2 linked regions of the Neurospora crassa OR74A genome follow. The protein of the gene in region 2 binds, or shares a complex with, the protein of the main gene of each other region. Links are inferred from orthologs where the notes say so. Each region holds a gene or a part of one and is shown on either strand. Other genes may lie near its edges. The genes, in order: NCU02232 and NCU03597.

Region 1 (7,070 bases), on a different chromosome or scaffold from region 2:
GATCCTGTAGGTAGTCCTGGATGTTTACGCCGTCAATGATGCATTTTGGCGCAAAGTCTCGCCCAGCAAAGAACAGTGTGAACATGGTTGCGGCAGCGAGTCGGTAATAGTTTGTCGACCAGATCATCTTGGGAAAGTTGTGGGGTTCTGGGTAGACGTTATGAACAATGGCCGCCTCCGTTGCTGCAAAGCTTTGTGGGTTCAAACCAGCAGCGTATAGCGTCCACATGGGGGCGCCAGAGCCGCCTGAGAAACGAGACCACTGTGGCACACAAATGTTAGCTTCCCAAGCTCAACAACTACACAAGAGAGAAATCCACTTACGACATCCTGGTGAGGATCCATAAAGATATAGAAGCCGTAGCGCTTGGCCACGCGCAGAACGTCAATGGTGTGCTGTATCCATTCCTCGTCGTAGATACCAGGGCCAGCAGCTTCAATGGCCTCCCACGTAAACACATAGCGGATGGTGTTGTATCCAAACCGCTTGAGACGCGAAAAATGGAGGTGGGCTTCTTCCTTGGGAAATGGTCGTCCAGTAAACTTGACGTTGTCGCCATCGAAGAAGTTCTCGCCGACATGGGAAGGCTGCTCGGGTTTGTTGGGATACTTGGCGTCGCCTGCGACATTGATGCCTCGTAGGGTAATCTGTCTCCCGTGGACGTCCCGAAAGGAGCCGTTCTCGATGGTGAGGCGGAAGCCGGCCATGTTGGTGGTGGCAGTGATATGCCTGGTTGGTTGGCGATGTATCAATGATGCACAAGGTAATGGAGAGTCAATATACCAACCAGTATACGGATTAATGGATTATGTGGTAGGTTAAAAGGTCAAGGAAAAGTCAGGAAAAAAAGTTTCGAGTTGGGATGATCGGTCGGTGTTGAGTAGTTCCCGCCTGCTCGTCGTTGATCCCATGTTTTGCCTGCTCGGCTCCATGTCAGTGGTCGACGTTTAGGCCTTCCCGTCCCCAATGACGTCGGGGGTTTAGCGTCGGGGGAACTGGGCGGATACACACGATACGGGGAAGACGGGGGCGTGGGCCAAGGTCCGCCAGCTCAACGATTCCCCATCGCATACACCCCGCCCGTTCGTTAACCAGACTGGTTGAAAGTTTGAGAGAGAGACGGGAATACGGAAGGTATATGGGAATTGGAAGAGAAGGAACTGAAGAGTTGATGTCCGGTAGGAGGGACGAATACCGCAAACGGACCCAACTCGTTCCATCACTTGACAGGATGAGCTAAGTACAGTAATGATCAAAAAATACTGTCACCTCCCCCCACCCTGCATTTGCATCAACCTTCCACCCCGCCATTACTTCTACAACTACCTTTTCTTTAAACCTTTGCAATTCCATCAACTCCCGGCCAAAATAGCTGATCTTGGTCGCCATTTAACCGGAGATGCCCAGAGTATACGAAGGTTTAAAAAAGATTTAAAAGAGCCAGAATGTGCAGCTATAATTGCATCGTGAAATACCGGAGTTTTGTATCGCCAATTCGCCCAGCAATTCGATTGCAGTATTAAAACTATTATCAGAATCTCTAAACACTTCCAAAATTACCACACTCTCAAAGCGCTTCCTAAAAGGGGTAGGAAGGAGAAGTTAACCCCTACAAAAAAGCGATATATCCATCGAATAGTCAAAAAGAGCCCTCGGATAAGTTGGAGAGCCCTTATTAATAAGAGTAGTATCATTGTTACTAAGAATACTATCTAGAAGATTTTAGGGAAGGATTATCGACGAAAATAAATTTCAATAAAGAGGATTCCTCTCTCAAAGGACGATGCCAAAAAAAGATTAGAGCATTCTAAGGAATTTCGCTATCAAAAGGAAGTTTTATTGGAGGTAGGCCTATCTTTTTATCAAATTTTTCTTACCTTACTATTAACTACCAAAATATATAGGGAAGTTATTCTAATAAATATTCTATCTAGAACGCCCCCAATTAGCCCAATAATTCAGTATTTCGACGGCCTTAAAATAAATTTAAACCCGGATTAATTAATTTTAAAGCTTATATTAAAGCTTCTATTATTTTAATAGTTTAGAAGATAATTTAGAAGGGTAGATAATTAAACCTCGTTATTATAAACTGTAATATAACTATAGTAAGGAATAGGTATACTTCTAATTCTTATATCGATGTTTTAGAGTAAGGATTAGCTCCTTATTATCGTCCGGGAACTTTTTTTCTCTAAAATAATGCGAGAATCTATACTTCGAAGTAAACTAAAGATTGGTTGGAAGACTACGGTATCTAGTATATAGCGCATCCTACTCATAGCCCGGATTTAAACCCCATTGAGTACGTTTAGAATAAAATAAAGAGGATATTGAAAAAAGAATTCCCAGAACTCTATTTACTAACGGAGAACGAAGCAAATAAGCGTCGAATTAGAGAAATACTTATTAGCATTTAGAATCGCATCCCTCAAGACTTCATTAACGGCCTTATCAACTTAATGCCCAAACGCCTCGAGGCTTACAGAAGGAATAAAGGCTGGTATACCAAATATTAAATTAGATTCTAGCCTTTCATTTGCAATAAGAATCATTAAAAAATATTAAAGTTTAGTAGTAGAATACACTCTAGAAGGTTGGTATTAAGATATTAATAAATAGGGTGCATTAGGCATTAGGGGGAGGTGACAGTATTTTTTGATCATGAGTTTACCTATTGTCATTAAATGAAGGGTTAGGGTTTAATACCTATCTACTATATAAGGTACACCCCCTCCGGGCCGTCAGTGGACGTTGGAGGTTGCAGTTGTTGTCAGCGTGCACCCCTGCATGCCTGCCCGCCCCTCTGCATGGTCCCCGCTCCACTGCAAGTGCTTTACGCGTACCGCGGTTTTACGACGCGACTATTACTGAATTGAGGTTGTTCCATGAATCGTGAAATCAACACTGGAAAAAAAAGAAAGAAAAAAAGAAAGGCAATCCTTACCCGACCAAACACTCCCAGATATTCACGGAACGATAGGATACTACTCGATTTCAGAAAAAACTATTTTCGTATTCGAGCGCCTTCACAATGCCTCATTCCGAATCACCACCAGAGTCAGAGAACTCGCCGATACCCATGGCCAATGTCGACCAAGAGCAAGAGGATGCCGTTGCTGAGAGCACAACGGCCCAAGTTCCGGAAGCCCAACAGCCAGCAGACGAAGACGTTGACATGGCAGACTCCAATGCAGTCCTATCCGCCCCGACAAATGGCACAACTCATATCTCAGAGTCAAAGGCTGAAAGTCAAGCCGAGACGCCAAACAATCAGGATACCCCAGTACCAGAGGCTGCCACGGGTGCGCCGAGCGAGAGCAAACCGGCAACAGGAGTGAAGCTCGAAGAGCTGTTTGATGAGATGGACTCTGACGATGACGAGTTCCCTACTACCAAGGCAGCAAAGAGGGAGCCAGCAAGCTCGCCCGATCTGCTCTCCTCGCAAAGGTAGCACAACCATGCATTTCAAGCCCAAGACAGCAGAAGCTAACTATGCACAGTGACATGGAGATTGATCTCCACGAAGCCTCAGATCCCGAAGTCATGCGCACATTCTACCAGCGCCTCTTCCCATGGCGATACCTGTTCCAGTGGCTTAACCACAGCCCAACACCCACCAACGATTTCGGCCATCGTGAATTCGCCTTTACGTTGCAGAACGACGCATACCTACGATACCAATCCTTCACCACCTCGGATCTGTGAGTTTGTCTATCCGGTTCCCTTCCAGCTATCCATCTTACTAACCCGACCAACCTGAACAGACTCCGTAAAGATGTCCTCCGCCTCATGCCCTCGCGTTTCGAAATTGGTCCCGTCTACACAGCCAACCCCCGCGATCGCAAAACGCTACGGAACTCGTCAGCTTTCCGGCCCCTGTCCAAGGAACTCTGCTTCGATATCGATCTGACAGACTACGATGACATCCGTACTTGCTGCGACAAAGCCAACATATGCCAAAAGTGCTGGCAATTCATCACCATGGCCATCAAGGTCGTCGACACGGCTCTGCGCGAGGACTTTGGCTTCAAGCACATCATGTGGGTATACTCGGGTCGTCGCGGTGCTCACGCATGGGTATGCGACAAGAGTGCGCGGGCGCTAGACGACCAGAAGCGACGCGCCATCGCCGGCTACCTCGAAGTCATCCGGGGCGGCGCGCAAAGCGGCAAGAAAGTCAACCTCCGCCGGCCGCTGCACCCGCACTTGGTCCGCTCCCTCGACATCCTCAAGCAGCATTTTCAGTCGGACGTGCTTGAGGCCCAAGACCCCTGGCGCACCGAGGACCAGCAAGAGAAGCTCCTCGCCCTTTTACCTTCGGATCAGAAGCAACTCGTGTCCGCCCTGCGCAACAAGTGGGCTTCATCGCCCGACCGGCCGTCCACCCTGAAATGGGCCGACATCGACAGCGTGGCCAAGACGTCCACTGCCAAAAACTTTGACACCAAGTCCCTCCTGGACGCCAAGCAGGATATTGTGCTCGAGTACACGTACCCGCGCCTTGATATCGAAGTGTCCAAGAAACTCAATCATTTGCTCAAGTCTCCCTTTGTCGTGCACCCGGGCACAGGGAGGGTGTGTGTGCCGATTGATGTGAAGAGGGGATTAGAGAGTTTTGATCCGCTGGGGGTGCCGACGGTGCAGAGTCTGATTAGGGAGATTGACGAGTGGAAGAAGCCAGAACCAAAAGAAGGGCGCCAGGAGCAGGAGGTGGAGAAGCATGTGGTGGATTGGGAGAAGACGAGTCTGAAGGGCTATATTGAGTTTTTCAGAAGCTTCGTGATTGGGTTGATGAAGGATGAGAGGGAGGTTAAGGTGAAGAGGGAACGAGAGGAGGAAGGAGGAGGAGGAGGAGGAGGTGAGAGTATGGAGTTTTGATGGGTGGATTGAAAATAAAGTCGGAATAGGGGAAACATAGAAGGCTTGGGTCAAATGTTTGTGCATCTTGTGATGTAAGGGGTCATTGGCGTTGTATGGTAAGGACTGGATATCGTTTGCAGGCCAAGGTTTAGCAGGTCTACGGCTGGCTTGAACATGGGAACATCATGTCCCTTTTTGATAACTGAGAAGGGTATTTGTTTGGCGGCTCAAAATAATTGGGTATATATGCCCTGTGATGCACCCGCCATCCTAAACCATACAACGGCCATCTAATCTGCCACTGGATGTTATGGGGGATCTTCACTGGACTTTTCCTACAGAGCAAAGAGCCGTCATCCACGTCTTCGCATTCGAAGGATTGATTCTGGTGGAGGTGAGACAGCGGTTCTACCCAGACATTTGCACATCTTGTGCTTGCTCTGTCGTCTGGTCTGTGACCTCGGGAGCTGCAGCCTCACCATTGGCTTCTTGGGTGCCGTTCTCCTCCTCTTCATCATCCTCGCCGTTGTCCGCAGCAGGGGTACCACATGACGACTCTGCCTTGAGGGTTCCGCCCTTTCTCTTGGGAATAACGGTCAGGAACGCCTCACCCCAGTCACCGCACTCGAGCCATTTGGCCATGATCTCTACAACCTGGTTTGTCGTGAGGACGTAGCGGCTCTGCATCGCCATATACTCTCCAATTGGCAGTTTGGCCGTCCGCACCTTTGCCGCCTTGGCCCGGCCGTAGCAGAGGCCCTTCTCGCGGTTCCTATCCACCAGGCCGCCAATGACGTAGCACGTGTTCGCTTCTAGCTTGTCCAGGGTGTAGTCAGACTCTGCCGACAGGTAAACAATCGACTGGTTCACATCCTCGGCCTCTTCCTCAGGCTTCGGCTTGGGAGCCGCAGCAGCAGCAGCATCACCACCCTCACCACCCTCCTCCGTCTCCTCGGCTTCCGGCTCAGGAAGCAACAACCCACCATTTCCACTCGGCTTGAGGAGATCAATCATGCCCTCCTTGACATCAGTCTCCTCCATCATACCCTTTGCAACCTCTGCCGCCTGCATAAAGTCGCCCTCGATGCACTTTACGCCGCCCTTCCAGTTCAGGTGCGCGTTCTTCAGCACCCGCTCGAACCGGTCCTTGAGCTTGCCCTTCCACGAGCTGATGACCAGCTGCGCCTGGTACTTGGCCCGGCGGTTCTGCGAGTAGGACCGCACAATCTGCGACGACAGCGACACAATTTCGTTTTCGCGCATGTACTCCTCAAAGTCGCAGTCGATGATGAAGGCCACGGGAACGGGGTGCGCCACCCACGGCTCCTTGCACAGTTTCTTTAGAGCCTCCTCTGGGTCCTGGCCGGCCGCTTGGGCTTCGGCTACCACGGCTTCTTTGAGGGCTCGCTTCTTGGCTTGTTGTTGGTGTCGCTTTTCTTTGCGCTTTTCCTTGCGTTCTTGTCGGAATTGCTCGTGGGCTGCTTGGCGGCGGAGACGCTTGAGTTGGTTTTTGGAGATCTTGGGGGTGCCATCAGCTGCTTGGGTATCGACATTGTCGCCATCTCCTTGTTGTTGTGGCTCTTGAGCGTTGTCTGTAGTGGTGGTTGTGGTTTGCTCGGTCGGTTGCTGCTGCTCGCTGCTGCTGGAAGCCGACTGCTCGGTATGTTGTTGCTCGACCATCTCTTTTGTTAGCTGCTCCTCCGCCTTTCGCTTTGAATTAGCTGTCGATATGGTGTCTGCTAGAGGTTCTGTTTGGGCCACAGCGACTTGCGGGGTTTGGTCCGCCATATTGTTCGGTGACAAAGATGGAGAGAGCGAGAAAGATGATCGAGTTTTGGGAATTGGAAGGCGACGAGCTAAAAGTTTAAGTGGGGAAAGGATTTAAAGGCCGCGGACGGGAGCGTGTCAATGTCAATTGAAGCGGGCGACAGAAACTAGCGTAGAAAGACCCCTCTGTGTTAGTGGTTATTTTTAGGCGGTCTGTGCTGTGAAAGGTGCTGTCGGCAATGTGACAGGCAACCCCCCGGGCTTTCCCTGCCTAGACGCGTCCCCCATGCATCTCTTTTAATTGAGGCGCGTCTCCCAAGACACCTCACACAGCCGAGGCCAGCGGCATCACCTATCTTTCTGCAAAAAGTGCCTGGTGTCACCCGTACTGCAACCTCGGCCCTCCTCCCACTGTTCTTCCTGTGGAATCTGTGCCGGT
Region 2 (7,431 bases):
TCGCTGATGTTGTGCAGTCCGCGGGATGCGGAGACTGGCAAGAGAGCGAGCGTGTCGAATGAGGAAAAGTGAAGCCTAAGCAGAGGACAAAAGTCGGGGGGGGGGGGGGGGGGGAGAAGAAGGGAACTTATAGAGGTAGAAAGGCGGGGATGCCTGCAGTGATTGGGTGAACACGAACGGGCCAAACAACAGCTGGGGAGGCCAATATATACATAGGAAATAGGTACTACACGCCGGATGCTTCGTCCCCAACCCTGCTTCCAGGACTTTCTTCCTGTCTTGGTTGAGCTATGTACCTTCCTCAATATCTTGTTGCTTTTCCAATTGGCATCATTCACTTCCTTCTAGGTACCTGGATAGGCACTTTCTGTAAGTCTTGGAGCCCCCTTCCTGTCCTAAGAGTTAAGTGTTCCGTTCGTCGCGTCGCTGCAAGTCGGAAAGCACAGACCAAAAAACACCCGAACACAGACACACAGGGCTGTCATGCGGGGCATTCGATCGCTACGGCGGGTCGTGGCCCTGCCGGGCAGCGGGAACCAAACACACCCGCTGCGAGGTCCACTTGCCGCGTCACAAAATTTACTGCACGTATCGTACTACGTGACGTTGCACTGTAATTTCATCATTACACCCGGACATGAAAGTTGCATTTCCCAGCATTTCATTTTGAACGCCATTCCGCCCGTCCTTAAGGTTCGCCACCTGTACTTGATCATTCAGCCTTGCATTGCCATCCAGATATCAGCTTTACACGTCCACAGCCACGCCCGTCATGCCGCCAGCTAAGAGCATGACGGCCAACCCGGTCAAGGCACCGCGCTACCGCGCCGGCAAGCCCACCGGTGTCGACTCCGAATCCGAATCCGACAACGTTCCCGAAGACGAGGAGGAAGCCCCCAAGAAGCCTTCCACGCGGAAAGCGCCAGCGCCCAAGTTTGCCAATGCAGCAGGTCCTGGCCGAATCATCAGTCGTGGCAACGATGGCAAGATCAACTTGAAAGCCGCCGGAATAGGCAGCAACGCCCCAGACAACGAAGAAGAAGAGAAAAAGCGACGGGAGGCAGCTGCGAAGGCGCGCATTGCGGCCGAACAGAAAGCAAGAGAGGAAGGGTTCGTGACAGAGGAGGAAGACGAAGAGGAAGAGGAAAGTGGCAACGAGGAAGAAGAGTCGGAAGAGGAAGAGAGCTCAGAAGAAGAAGAGGAAGCACCAAGGCGGTTGATGCTGCGACCAAAGTTCATTCGAAAGGCCGACCGCGAAGCTGGAGTAACCGCATCCAACTCCGCCTCGACAAACAAGAAATCGACACCCGAAGAAGACGAAGCAGCTGCCGCAGAAGCCCGCCGCCGCGCCGCCGACGAGCTTGTCGAAGAGCAAATCAAGAAAGACCTTGCCGCCCGCGCCGCTGGCAAGAAGCACTGGGACGACGACACCGACCCAGAAGACGACCAAATCGACGACACGGATGACATTGACCCCGAAGCCGAATACGCTGCCTGGAAACTGCGTGAGCTGAAGCGCGTCCGGCGCGAGCGCGAGGCTATCGAAGCCAAGGAGAAGGAACTCGCAGAGATCGAGCGCCGACGGAACCTCACGGAAGAAGAACGTCGCGCCGAAGATGAAAAACACCTGCAGCAGCAGAAGGAAGAGAAAGAGGGCAAAGGCAAGATGGCATACATGCAAAAGTACTTTCACAAGGGTGCTTTCTACCAGGATGAGAGCAAGGAGATGGGACTGGACAAGCGAGACATTATGGGCGCGAGGTTTGCGGACGATGTTAAGAACCGGGAGCTGTTGCCCAAGGCGCTGCAGCTGAGAGATATGACCAAGCTGGGAAGAAAGGGCGCCACCAAGTACAGAGACCTCAAGAGTGAAGATACGGGACAGTGGGGCCGCCTGCATGACAACAGGCCAGGGAGGGAGTTTGACAGGTTTGGAGATGAAAGGTTCCAGCCTGATGACTCTCATAGGGATCGGTACAGGGATAGGGGTGGTGATGGGCCGAAGGGCTCGAATGCCATTCCGTTGGGTGATCGGAAGAGCGCCCCGGAGAGGTCAAGGGGTGATGACAGGCCGCGTGGTGAGGATCGGTATAGGGGAGGCGATAGAGATCGCAACCGTGGTAGAGACCATTCTCGGGACCGTTACCGTGACAGGGACGGAGACAGGGACCGTCACCGGGATCGGGATCGGGACCGTGACAGACGTCGGGATGATGATTACAGGGAGAGGCGCCGGTCGCCGTCTCCAAGACGTGATCGTGATCGCGACCACGGCGAGCGGAGGAAACGGTCACCATCCAGAGAGCGGGACCGGTATGAGAGCGACAAGCGAAGAAAGGTGGATACTAGGTAGTCCATGTCTTGCCTACCTGCGGCCTCGTCGGCTCATGCAAGAACTTCTCACATTAATACTGTTGTATCGTCAAGGTGAATGTGCAAACTCTTTTTCATCCCGACGCCAAACCACCTGGTTATACCTATCCTCATGCCAATGCCGAATACAAATACATGGAAACCAGATTTATACCTCCAAATTTTCACATCATCAAGACATGTCTACCAAACCCAGAACTTCGAGATTAAGTTTAAATCCTGGTGACCTCGACTCTTGCCCTCTCAAAGATCCTATGGGCAAGCATCCCACCTGGCGCAGCATCCGCCTCCGACAGTTTTGGCGGATACAGTGTCATCCTGGCATATGTACCGGCTCGCTTGCGTTGTGATAGATACCCGGGGTTGATGACCAACACACTTTCAATGACCTAGACAAGAAAGTCAGTAACTGCACGCATTCCCAGGATGAAAAGCAAATTCAGCAACACAACAAAAAAAAAACATACCTTGGCGAAAGGCGGCAACGCGCTCGGCACAATCAACACATCCGGACGCACATTAACCATCTCGCCCAACTTCAAATAACTGATATCCAGCATGGCGCCCGGCGCAGCCTGCCCATCAATCACCTGTCTCCCCGTCTTGGGCAGCTTCGTCCGATCCGTCGGCGGAAACAGCGGGAAATAATGCCTCTGCTCGATCAGATACCTCGCCACCCTCGACAAGCCATTGGTATCCTCCACCGTGCCGCCAATCAGCTCCTCATGCTTGAGCTCCCACAGCGCATCCTGACTGCTGATCCCCACCAACGTCTCGTTGAGGCTGAGCGTCATTGGGTTGCCAAGGATCTTGATGCTCTTGTGCAGGCCGAGCTCCTTGCGGGGGAAGGGGTCTTGCGGCCAAGAGACGTGGCGGTCGATTACGTCGCGAACCGAGGGAACGAGCAGGATGGTGACGTGCGGATTGGCGGACACGAGTCGGTTCAGCGCGGGCGAGATGAGATACTTGAAGACAGTGTTCAGAGTTGCAGCGTCAGGGTCGTAGACGGCTTCCTCGGGGAGGTCGAAGTCGCCTGATGCAATGAGGGGGTGCTCGGCGTCGATGAAGGGGCCGGTGAGGATGACGGCGTCGGCATAGGTGTCTGCTGCTTCGTTGATGAAAGTGTGGAGGGGCTCGAAGTCGAGGTTGTCGTCGGCGGTGTAGGGGCCAGAGGCAAAGATGACGTTAAGAGGCATGGGGTTTTCGTCGTCGGTGTCCATGGCGTCCGGACCGCCGCGTAGCCTCTCACGGTGTGCTGCCATGGTCTCTAGTGTGGAGGCAGCATTGCCCATGAGAGGCATGCGTATGACTTCGTTGACGGTGAACTCACGCCCCGTGGTATTGGTTCCGCGTAGTGCGACGATCTGTCCGGGGAAGAACTGGTAACCCTTGAGCTTGCTGACGTTTAGGGGTACCCGGAAACCGCCGCCCAACTTTCTGGAGGTTTCTAACACGAGGGAAGCGGCGTTGAGCTTGCCCTCGGACGTATCAGAGGCGACACGCCCGACTGCCACGATCTCTGTGGTACTCTGCATAGCCGCGCTGCCGAATACCGACTCGTCCAACTTGTAATGTTCCAGAACCAAACTTGTAAAGTCGTCTATCCTGTCGTCCAAGATCTCGGATGCTTCAGAAAGCTTCATTGCTAGTGGCTTGTAGCCCAATTTCTTCAGATCGGAGGCGGCAGTAAGTTTGATGCGGGACTCGCCGAAGGGAGCGATGGGTGGTTCGGGCGCAGGGAGATTTTCGTTGAGGATTTCGATCACTTCGCCGGCGTTTGGTCTATCTTTGAAAGAAGATGGTCTTGGAACGGTTAGCAAGGTACATACAGTACGTATGCAGGGAACTGGTCTGGACATACGGAATCACGCCCATGGCATCTAGTTGTGCCTCCAGCTTCATCGGCGAGCTTACGGGCTCATTCTTCAAGCGGGAGCCGATGGGAGTCCCCATTGGTGTTTTCCTAGCCGAACCAAGCTTTGCTGCCCGTCGAGCTGCCGGTGTTGTGAGTCCATCAAGCATACCAAACACATCGCTATTGTTCCTCGCTCCTGGCCTTGGTGTTCCTCCCGGTCGCTTTTCGGTCTTGACTTGCTCCAACGCCTGAGCTCGGTTTGCTCGTTCTAGTGTGTCTTGTAGGTCCTGCTTGAACTTGCGAACAGTGGACATGGACATCTTGGGCTGGTCCATGTCCATCTTGATGCAGTACGACTCCCACTTGAAGAACATGTCTTGAACGTCGAGTTCGTGCAGGCGCATAATCGACTGGAGCTCATATATGACATCTGGAGAGAGCTCGGTGTTGGCAGTGCCGAAGCGCTCGTTGAGCTCGGCCACGACTGGATCGGCCATGATCGCAATGGCAGGTGATGTTTGCGCCTCGTTCTTCTCTTCGGTGCTCGTGATGTTTGACAGATTTAGTCGATGCAGTCCCGTCCCTACTTGAAGTTGCAACAAATAGCGGTTCGAGTTGTGTGGTCGCAGCTTGAGTGGCACAATGAACAAACAAACAAACAAACAATTCGGTATCACGAATATGATCACGGAGGGGAACCACCACTACACATTCACAGGACGCGCCATTGTGGTGCTGACCGCGCCGTAGAAATCAATTAACGCGAAAACACGCTAATCCAATTGGCAGGGGTGGTCCTTGTGGCCCGAGGGTGTGACGCAGCGGCGCTGTAGCTCAGGGGATCTGTGGCTGGTGCGCGGCGGCTTCCCTAGCTCCACAATCCGGAAAGCGCTTTGCTGCAAGTTTAAGACGTACTTGCAAGTTGCAGACGGATTGTCCAAACTCTTCAAAGTGAACGCAGGGGCAGCAAAATGTCCATCAAGCAGGTGCACTGCTTCATCAAAACTCGAGAAGATTGACATGTTGGGTTTGTCACCAATTCCGTCAAGCCAGCACATATTTTCAATGGTGAAATACAAATCTTCTACATCTTGCTTCCAAGCAAGTCTTGGCTTTGCTTCGGTCCAGACGGAAAGACATTCGCCAATTTCCGTGATCATCGAAGCGATCTGCCCTGAGGCCAGCAATCAAAGCCCCTAATCTGTTTGGTTGCGGCTGACACATCGTCGGTCGCTTGAGATTGGGCTCATGGCATCGTCCAATTCCACTGCACTTCCACTTCAACGTATCTCAACTTTCTTTTTCTAAGCCAACCTCCTACGTCTCGTTCCGTTTTTTCCTGCATTTTCTGATCTTGCTCACTCTACTCTCTTTAATTCCCAAATTCTTTACCACGTCGCTCGCTCAAAATGGCCACTGTCCTCAAGGTCCCTCTGGCTTCCCCTACCCCTGACAGCCAGCCCAAGCCCCAAGCGGCGCTTACGGCTGACCAGGAGGAAAAGTACAACTGGTTGCTCGAACAAGTCAAAAACTGGAAGGAAGTCCCTGCGACTGAGGGCAAGGCCGGTCCCATCACCGATAGAGAGAAGTTCTGGTTGACTCGGGAATGTCTCCTCCGCTTTCTGCGCGCAACAAAATGGAATCAAAAGGAGGCTGAGAAACGCATCCTGGGCACGCTCACGTGGAGGAGAGAGTACGGCGTCGAGGAGTTGACTGCGGATCACATCTCGCCCGAAAACGAGACCGGCAAGCAGATCATCTTGGGCTACGACAAGGAGGGCCGCGTCTGCCATTACCTGAACCCTGGCCGCCAGAACACCGAGGCCTCTCCTCGCCAAGTTCAGCACCTCGTCTTCATGCTCGAGCGCGTTATCGACCTTATGCCGCCCCAGGTTGAGACTCTGTCTCTGCTCATCAACTTCAAGTCGAGCAAGTCCAGGTCCAACACGGCTCCTGGCATCGGTCAGGCTCGCGAAGTCCTCAACATCCTTCAGAACCACTACCCCGAGAGACTCGGGCGCGCTCTCATTATTAATGGTATGTGCAATGCTTAATGTCTGACGAACACCCAGAAAACTGACCAACCACAGTTCCCTGGATTGTCAACGGCTTCTTCAAACTCATCACTCCCTTTATCGACCCCAACACCCGCGAGAAGCTCAAGTTCAACGAGGACATGAAGAAGTACGTCCCCGCCGAGCAGCTCTGGACCGAGTTCAACGGCTCTCTTGAGTTCGACTACGACCATGCCACCTACTGGCCCGCCCTGCAGAAGATGTGCGTCGAGAAGCGGGAGGCCAAGTACCAGCGCTGGGTTGCCGGTGGTCAGCAGATTGGCGAGCTGGAGGATTTCATCACTGGGCATGCTCAGGTTGGCGTTGCTGGTCCTATTGCCGCTGCCACCTCTGCTCCTGAGCCCACTCCTGCCGCATCTGCGCCTGCGCCGGCTGCTGAGCCCGAGACCATTCTTGCTCCCGAGCCTGCTCTTGCTTCCGAGACTGCTCTTGCTCCTCCCCCTGTTACTGCTTCCGTACCAGTGGCAACGGAGGCTCACGACGAGGCGCCAGCCCCGGCTCCCGAGGCTGCTGCTATTCCAGAGCCCACACCGGCGGCGGTGCCTGTGGAGGAGAAGAAGGAAGAGGAAAAGCCAAAGGTTGTCGCGTCAACTGAGGTCGGAGAGACCACTGCTTAAAAGGTGCGCTCAGCTGTATAATAGACGGTGTTGGGGTTAGTCGCAATGGGTTTAGGTAAAGAGTAGAATGGTGATTTTGTCGTGTATTTGATACCAATTATAGAAAAACTAGGCGCCATTAGGGTGTTTCTGGTCAGTTAGACATCATAGAAGGCGAAGCATAATATCAGTTTAGTTTGAACAAAGGGTTGGCACTGTTTTAAGAGGTACCTACCCTACATCAAACAACACTCGGTCTCACTGCTTGATAAGGAGCACCTAACGTAGGTAGTAACAACCACGCCAAAGCTTGGTTGACAGTCTTCAAACACTAGTAAAACTCAGTGGAACATGAAACGGGTTGCTGCTTCGCCATATAACCTCATGCTCTACAGTCTCATGACTGTATGGCTACTTTATTGTCTGGACACAGGTTTGTTTTGGCCGCTGTGAATGGAGTCAACAAGTTTTGGTGCATGTGTGAGCCACCCAGTGGGACCTCGCGCGCCAACAAATAGTTTTAAGGGTTGAT

The links.
Region 1: NCU03597 (region 2) and NCU02232 share a complex: the UniProt entries of both Schizosaccharomyces pombe proteins name them as parts of the alpha DNA polymerase complex. The link is inferred for Neurospora crassa OR74A from reciprocal best matches to the Schizosaccharomyces pombe genes spb70 and spp1.

Annotation. Positions count from the first base shown.
Region 1 is NC_026507.1:3,250,968-3,258,037, forward strand, and holds NCU02232 (DNA primase small subunit), read left to right. Parts: upstream 1-2,860; 5' UTR 2,861-3,035; coding exon 3,036-3,451; intron 3,452-3,504; coding exon 3,505-3,705; intron 3,706-3,768; coding exon 3,769-4,882; 3' UTR 4,883-5,222; downstream 5,223-7,070. Other genes in the region: NCU02233 (glycosyl hydrolase), read right to left, coding at 1-262, 325-708; NCU02231 (tRNA (guanine-N(1)-)-methyltransferase), read right to left, coding at 5,273-6,652. UniProt on the Schizosaccharomyces pombe protein: Catalytic subunit of the DNA primase complex and component of the DNA polymerase alpha complex (also known as the alpha DNA polymerase-primase complex - primosome/replisome) which play an essential role in the initiation of DNA synthesis.
Region 2 is NC_026505.1:1,789,222-1,796,652, reverse strand, and holds NCU03597 (DNA polymerase alpha/primase associated subunit), read right to left. Parts: upstream 4,967-7,431; 5' UTR 4,726-4,966; coding exon 4,235-4,725; intron 4,177-4,234; coding exon 2,841-4,176; intron 2,763-2,840; coding exon 2,586-2,762; 3' UTR 2,354-2,585; coding exon of another isoform or gene 773-2,353; 3' UTR 632-772; downstream 1-631. Other genes in the region: NCU03598 (microfibril-associated protein), read left to right, coding at 773-2,353; NCU03596 (CRAL/TRIO domain-containing protein), read left to right, coding at 5,638-6,265, 6,319-6,920. UniProt on the Schizosaccharomyces pombe protein: Accessory subunit of the DNA polymerase alpha complex (also known as the alpha DNA polymerase-primase complex) which plays an essential role in the initiation of DNA synthesis.